Stegostoma tigrinum: one gene and its partner. The protein of the gene in region 1 interacts with the protein of each later gene in a pairwise test. Links are inferred from orthologs where the notes say so. Each region holds a gene or a part of one and is shown on either strand. Other genes may lie near its edges.

The links.
Region 2: the proteins of cyclin-dependent kinase 4 inhibitor D-like (region 1) and nr4a2a interact in binary tests that used the Homo sapiens proteins (3 or more experiments, as listed by UniProt). The two-hybrid records come from large-scale screens. The link is inferred for Stegostoma tigrinum from reciprocal best matches to the Homo sapiens genes CDKN2D and NR4A2.

What each region holds. Positions count from the first base shown.
Region 1 is NC_081388.1:16,762,285-16,766,209, forward strand, and holds the start of cyclin-dependent kinase 4 inhibitor D-like, read left to right. Parts: upstream 1-1,249; 5' UTR 1,250-1,415; coding exon 1,416-1,553; intron 1,554-3,925. UniProt on the Homo sapiens protein: Interacts strongly with CDK4 and CDK6 and inhibits them.
Region 2 is NC_081360.1:56,816,211-56,820,135, reverse strand, and holds the start of nr4a2a (nuclear receptor subfamily 4 group A member 2a), read left to right. Parts: upstream 1-1,317; 5' UTR 1,318-1,397; intron 1,398-2,227; exon of another isoform or gene 2,228-2,409; intron 2,410-3,925. UniProt on the Homo sapiens protein: Transcriptional regulator which is important for the differentiation and maintenance of meso-diencephalic dopaminergic (mdDA) neurons during development.

The DNA of each region.
Region 1 (3,925 bases):
TCTGTAGCAGGGAGACCAGAACTGAATGCAGTATTCTAAAAGTGGCCTAACCAATGTCGTGTACAGCCACATGATTTCCCAACTCCTGTACTCAATGCAGTGATCAATAAAGGCAAGCATACCAAATGCCTTTTCCACTACATGATCTCCCTGAGGCTCCATATTCAAGGAACTATGAACCTGCTATCTAAGGTCTCTTTGGCAAAGTTTCCCAGGACCATTAAGTGTATAAGTTCTGCTCTGATTTGCCTTTCCAAGATGCAACAACTCACATTTATCTAAATTAAATTCCATCTGCCACTCCTCTGCCTGTCTGATCAAGATCCTGTTGTACTCTGAGATAACCTTCTTCGTAGTTCACTACAGCTCCAATTTTGGTGTAATCTGCAAACTTACTAACCATACCTCCTATATTCACATCTAAATCCAATATAAATGCCAAAAAAAAGCAGTGGAGCCAGCACTGATCCTTACACAGGCCTCCGGCCTATCTTGAATTTCCTGTGGAAGATTAAAGGATCATATCGTACAGTGGTAATGTTCCTACCTCTAGGCCTGGATTTAAGTCTCACTTGCGCCAGATATGAACAGATTTGATTTTTTAAAATTATGGAAAAATGGGCAGAATTATTGAATTTTGGCAGGATGACTAAATGTTTAGCGGCTGTGGGTCCAGATTCTTCTTGTACAATCTGAACTGAGGAAGTGAGATATAATCCACCTGTAAAGATGTATTTGAGTACACACCTCCTAGAGAAGGAGTGACTTGAACACAGGGCCTCCTGCCTCAGAGGCAGGGATACTATCATTGTGTCACAAGAGCCCAAATGAGATTTAAAGAAAAAGAATTGCTTGCAAAACTCAGCTGGCCTGGTTGCATCTGTAGAGAGAGAATCATAGTCAACGTTTCCAGTCCAGTAACGCTTCCCGAGATTTTACTTTGGCTGGGGAAGGGTACGGGTGATATAAATACATCGCTTCTTCTGCCACTTGGTACACGAGTTGCAGCTATTGTCGACCCGGGGGAGCTGTCAGCTCCTCTGCAGCCGCGCGTGCGTCCGCGGTCCACAAGTAACAAAAACAGATGACGTCACAAAGAACTGACATCAGGATGTTATTGCACATTTCGGGCTGTCTCGCTCCTGATTGGCCGTTCGGCCCGGCCTCCAAACATTGAGTCGCGATTTAGAATATTGCCCGGGTGGCGACTGCGACAGCTTTTCTGATTGGCGGCTGCGCCTGTCAATCAGATCCTTCTTCACTCCTCCCTGCAGTGGGAACGAGCTGAGTTGCCCGGCAAGCGGAGAGAGACTGCAGCCGCAACAACATTGCGTTTTTGCCTTCGCCTCCAGTCTCGGAGCGCTTTAAAGCAAAGCTAATATTTAAACATTGGGAAATATAATATATACATAAATATGGGGAAAACTATGCCGGATGGCGAGAAGTTGTCCCAGGCTGCCGTGCGGGGAGACTGGCAAAACGTGAAGCGTCTGCTGACCGAAGAAAAGGTGAACGCCAATGCGGTGAATAAATTCGGACAAACCGCACTGCAGGTTGGTAGTACCTCTGGACTCTTGAAATAGTGATAAGGACAGCAACGGCATACTGTATTTAACCCCGAGTTACAGTCGCATCCGTTTAAACCGGGAGAAATCCTTTTCAGCATTACATCTACCTCTCTATATATTAAAAAAAATCTGCAAATTTGAAAGCCCTACCAGAATCTGCATTACTGTCGAACGCAGCAGATTAATAATTGGGGATTTGCCTGACATTCGGATTGCAAATGACTGTTGCGATGCCTCTTGTGACGGAGATGTCAGCCGGTTAAACCTGCTGCGGAAGATTAACCCGTTTCCAGACAGCGCCCAGAGATGTAATGAAACGTGAAATAAAATATTTAGGCGCAATCTGGTGTTGTAACCTACTGGGGTCGTCATAATTTGTGAATGAAGGCAAGGGGTTCCCTGTTCCCTTCCCCTTCGGCTGACGTTAAAATGCCGATTTGAAATAATTTGACATTTGACTCCAAAACTCTATCCAATAACTTTCTTTTTGCCTGCCGTTGGCCGGATGGAATTTTGAAGAGGTGTAAACGGAGTTTTTAAAAAATCGATTGTTGATTTAATTTAGAAAAAGCAGTGAAAGGAACAATTGTTGAGAAATGTCAGTAACTCTTACGTTACTTTACTACGAAAGGGCGGAGTCTTGCCGTGGGGCATGTGTACAACAGGGCGGTTTCAATCTGCGTTGTCGATCGGCTGTTGAGCTAAATTTACCCTGTTCCTGAACCGAAAGCAGTAAAAGATGCGTTTTAAATTGGATTGGTAATAAAGTGCTTTAAATATGGGTGGGGTTAGAATAATTATTGCAGGTTTTGTATATTATCTACCAGGCTATTCACAAGATGTTGCTAGGCATCCGTGTTAAGTAATATTTAGCAGTGGACTCTGTCTCACCCCCAGTCCTCACCAAGGGCATAAGGTAGCAACGCGAACCAAAATTAGACCACAGCGGGCACCCTATATTCACGGGGATTGTAGATCTGCGACTATCTGGGTATCTCCATATTTCTGTCTTTGTCCAGTATCCCTTAGTAACTACAGTTTACAAAAACAATCTTTCGATTTCAGCATTATAAGGATTAATCGACTGAGCAATTGTCACTTGCAACCTTCTATCACTCGTTGCATGTGACAGTATTTCCTAAATTCATTCCTAAAAGGTCTGACTTTGGATTTGTGATGTCCTGTGTTCGGATCTCTTCCCTCTAACCAAATATCCTTGGCTGAGGTTAGTACTTTGTCATGTGGAAGGATGACTGAATCTTGCAAGGCAGTGGACTCTGAAAGCCCATCACTGCTGTACAAAAGAGGCTGCTTTCATCTTTTTTTGACACCAGAGTGTCTGAGTTCCCATGGTAGACTTCACACTAGCCCTGTGCCTCAGGGCTGTTACAGAGACAAATTTATAACAATCACAGGGGAAGGTAGTAATTGCGATGTCTCCAAATGTCTACATCTTCTCGCAGCTGTGGGAGAGTCAGAGAGATACATGATTAGAATGTTTACATTGTTCTGCAGCTGTGAGACAGAGAGGGAGACAGACACAGATTGCTGGGCACACAGAAACATGCCCAGAAACTGATTGCAAACAAATCAAATTCAACATGTACAAAGTAACAAACCTGGGTTGCTAAAATGCACCACTAACATGCCTGCCCCACTTTATTTTCCTAATACCCTGCACCGCTCTGTATTTTCCCCTCTCTCCATTAATTTCAATAGGAACCAAGCACAATCTGTTACCGCCTGTTTTCCACTCTGTTGCTTGAATTACTCAGGCAAGAATCCACCAAAGATCTAAACTGTAATTGTGTCTAATTGTAGGTTCTTTCTCTACAAGTAGCAATATCAGAAATAAACCCTATACTGTTGCTGCTCCACCCAAGAACCATTTCTCCGATGTTACCCACACAAATATGGTTAGGCCCAAATTCCTTTCCCTAGAGCCATTAAATTGGAAATATGTACAACTGGTGAATCTTTATAGTTTGCAATCTTGCTGCAGTACAGCTGAACCGTAACTGAATGGCAGGACGTGCTGAATGGCCTACTCCAGTTCTTAAGTGTATTCTTTGCTTACTCAAATGGCAATGGATTCAATATCTGGTACAAAAACATTAAAGAGGGTCACTCACTTATAGTTTATACAGAAAAATGGAGAAAGTTGTGGAATTCAATCCCAAAAACTCCAGCCATAAGTCCCCAAAATGCTATTCAGTACAAAAATTAATTTTGATGTATTGATCTTTGGGATTTGGGCATTGCTTTTCTCTAACTGTACTACGGCAGTTGTGAGGATAAGGATTTCAACCAAGTGAGAATGAAAGTACAGTGCTACATGTACAAGTTGGATGGCCTAT
Region 2 (3,925 bases), on another chromosome or scaffold:
ATCTGTTTTATATCATGAGGAATTAAGAAACCAAGTATCCTTTTGAGTAATTAAATACTAAGGAAAACTAAAATAACTTTGTGGCAAGCATTATGAATACTTGAGTTACAAGGTTCTAAAGAAGTTGCTTTTGATTGATGCTGACTCTTAGTAAGTTTGCAATTCAGATGTACTGTTCATGTCACAATAAATGTTTTGTTCATTTTTACTGTGTCATGTGCCTCTACTTTACCTCTTACCACACCCCTAACAAGCCCTTACATACAAAAAAAATCAGAAATTGTATCCTATTTACCATTGTAAACTTTTCATGGAATCTGATTTGAATCAATAGGGTAGTAAGTAATTAATTTTTTTCTTCAAGCATTAAATTATTCTTCATTGATTCCAGAAAATATGCAATCTATTCTGCTGCCTTCGATCTAGCTGATAACAAACCTTGATGCATATTGGAGGCAGCTTATAATTTAGCCAACTGCTGTAAGGGTGTGAATAAACTAGATGTGCTATTGACCTATTTGGGTTTTATATGTAAATTTAATTTGACAAAATTATGTATTGTTTTGATGGCATATAATTGAGGGCGCCTCTTCCTGGATGAAACGTGTAACTTCAACAGTTCCGGTTATTTGAATACAACTGTTTCTAGCCAAATGAAGAACCTACAAAGCGGTCAACCACTGGAAATATGCCACCTGCCAAGAACATTTCCATTTAGGAACGTAATGGGCGTAATGGTACTTTTTTTTAAACCTACTTTGAAGTGAGGCTTGGGGATAGAAGTCTATTTGAAAATAAAAGCCCTGGTGGGGGGGGAAATCAATTATTCTATCCCTTGACAATTGTTACCTTAAATGCATCAGGTGGAGAAGATACGGTGCCCGGATAGTGATTAAAGGCGAATCTGCCGGTAAACTGTACGACTTGCTAGATTGCGAGTTTGACAAAAGTGGAGTAATCGTGGCCAAGAAAACGTCAACATAAAGTACACAAAACAGCATGTCCCTGCAAATACATATAAGCAAACTTGACCCCGTGTTTTAAAAAAATTAAAATCCCTACGCCAAAGTACTAGCTCTAAAAATATCCACAATGTCTTAATTTGGTGTTCTCGAGTTTCCGACGGGGTTTAAAATAGCCGGAGTAAGCCCTGCCCCTGTGTGCATCACTTGCAGACTGACAGTGCTGTGCCAGACCTGCTATTTTTGGCCGAGCCGCTTCTCTGCGTCAATGGCAGCGTTCCTGCGTCACGCGGCACTTTGCTGGGCCCGGCGCGCAGCCGCTCACATTTTCCTTTCGTTCATTAAATTGTTTCGCCCACGAATCACTGACGCTGTTCTGCAACAGGCCGGATTAATGAGCTCCCTCTGTCCGCTCCTCGCCTTACATCATTAAAGGTAGTCACCAGACTTTTCCCAGAGCCGTCCGCCCTCTCAACATTATTTCCACCAGTGTATAAAATATATACACAACTGTTGGACTTTTATATTTAGTTCTGCAGCAGAGCGGCGATGTTAAATATCTAAATTCGCTATTTTCAGTACAGCTCTTTTTAAAACCTGCGTTTTATCTATACAACTGAAACTTATTGTCCCACGCATCCGGCAACCCGAAGTTATTATTACCCCGATGTTTTTAAAGCTTTACATTCTATTAACAGGACGCTCCCCCGTACCCAAAACAAGCGATTCTTAAAGCGATTCCTACTATCTCTGATCCTTAAAATACGTGTGTTTTAAACGAATAAATCTCAATTGATTAAAGCGAACATGGGAATTTTATTTCAATGCTAGCTATTACACTCACCAGTTTCCCTTGCGGGCTCTACCGAATTACTAGAACTGACATAACACATCGTTAATAATGGAATAAATATACTGGAAATAAAAAAAATACGCAGTTTACCGTGATAAAATACATCCAAACTAAGTGATCAATAAGATCGATAAGCTATAAACGGCGAATATTCCAACTACGTGTTGTTTTGGAAATGCTGAAAGAGGAGGTGAGAAGGTTGCCTCAAGTCATGCCCCAACTACCTTAAAAATCCAAAGCGTTAACGTCACCTCGGAAATTTACCAAAGTGAGTCTTAGCCAACCGTGTGGTGCGGGCCCAGCCCTCGGGCGCTCATTGGGTTTGGCTACGCTGACGCTCGCTGACGCTCGGAGACTTGGTTACACGCTGCCGGTGGAAGAGGAGCTCACATAAACAAAGGCACATTGGGAGAGTAGGGCCAGTCCGAGTCTGATCGCTTGCTCAGAGTGCGGAGAACAGCAACCTGTACCGCTGCTGCCGCTACTTAAACCACACACTGCTGCACCTCAAAGTTCATTCTATGTTGAACTGAGTTTCTACTCACCCTGTGATCTGCCGTATTTAAATGAGAAGTGGAAGTAAACATTTGACAAGTAGGTATTGAATTATTCGAGTAGTCTCATGATGCGTGCTTATGCGAATATGTCCCGATATTGTTCACCGCTGTTGTTCCGTTTGCCATGGTTTAGTTTATCTTGTGAACTAGCTGGAGAAAAGTAGCCAATTCTTGAACTCTGGCAACAGTTACCGACTTCGAGCTTTTTCTGTTCCGACCCTTTCCAGCGCTGTCATTGAGCAAGTGAAAGGCACATCCTGATAATAATTTAAAACAATAAATGGATCGTCTGCTCTTCCTGTTGGAAGTTGTAGGCAATGTGCATATTGATCCGCGTGGTTTTGTTTTGACCTGTACGTTCCACCTGGTGCTCTGCCACTGTTTGGACGATATCAGCGATAGCGGAATCTCATTCACACGTGCATTTCTTGCGACCTGCAGCATGATATACTTTAAAAAAAAACTACCTCGCCCACCAAGGCGAAGCCCACATTGCAATGTGTACATATCGGTTTGCAGTCCAGAAGATTTACAGACTGACATGAGACAGTTTACAGAAAGTTAGATGTTCGCAGTTAGTTAAGTGAAAAATATTCGCTGCATCTTAGCGTGTATAATGTTTAATGTAGCCGAAGATCTACTTGATCTTTTGAAATTATGACAGCCCACAAATGATCAAGTGGAGCGACGCGGATATGTTAAATTGTGAGTTCAGGCATACACAGATATGACTGTCATTTCAAAAGTTGTTTTTAGTTTTTAATAATGGATAATTGCGCAACACATATCTAACATATATTTCGAGTTCCTAAAAAGTTATTGTTAAGCCAGTGGTTGTTACTTTTACTGTTTGGTTCTGCCTCTTCCTGGGAATCATAGCAGAAAACAACTGCCAAAATGGTTTAGAGAAAGAGCTTAAGATGTATGTTCTTTCGCGAACGTTCATGCATCAGTATATTTTAAAGATCATGTATCTGTCTAGTCTTTGGCTGTATTCTTCCTATATATGCAGAGAAATAATTCAATTTGCATTAATGGTGGATATTTCCCCCTTTCTGTGTCTATCTATCTGACTGATTTGTCTATTTATCCATCTGTTTTCTTCGTGAGTATTCTCAATATAGCTACTTTCCGCACAATAATCGACAGAATATTCCACACGCACCGTTCCAAAGCTGTAATTTAACATTTTGAGCACTTTGTATTGCTAAGGCCGCGTAACTTAGAGCAAAGCACATGTTTTCTATCACATTATTTCGAAGCAAATCTCTTTTGGATGTGCTCACTTCCTTTCGCATGTTTTGTGATAGTCCTTCTGGGTTAGTATATTGGTTTGGCCAGAAAATGTGATCCAGTATACACAGAGACGACGAGAATGTCATTAATGTTATCCAGTTATAATTAAAACTACGTAGACAATTCACAAATGTATTTAAGCAAATGTGATCTTTTGCTCCAGAGGATGATGAGAGAGGCAAGACAAAAACAAGATGAGGTCGTAGCAACCGACTGCATAAAGGATACATTAGGGCGTAATTAAATAAACTTTTAAA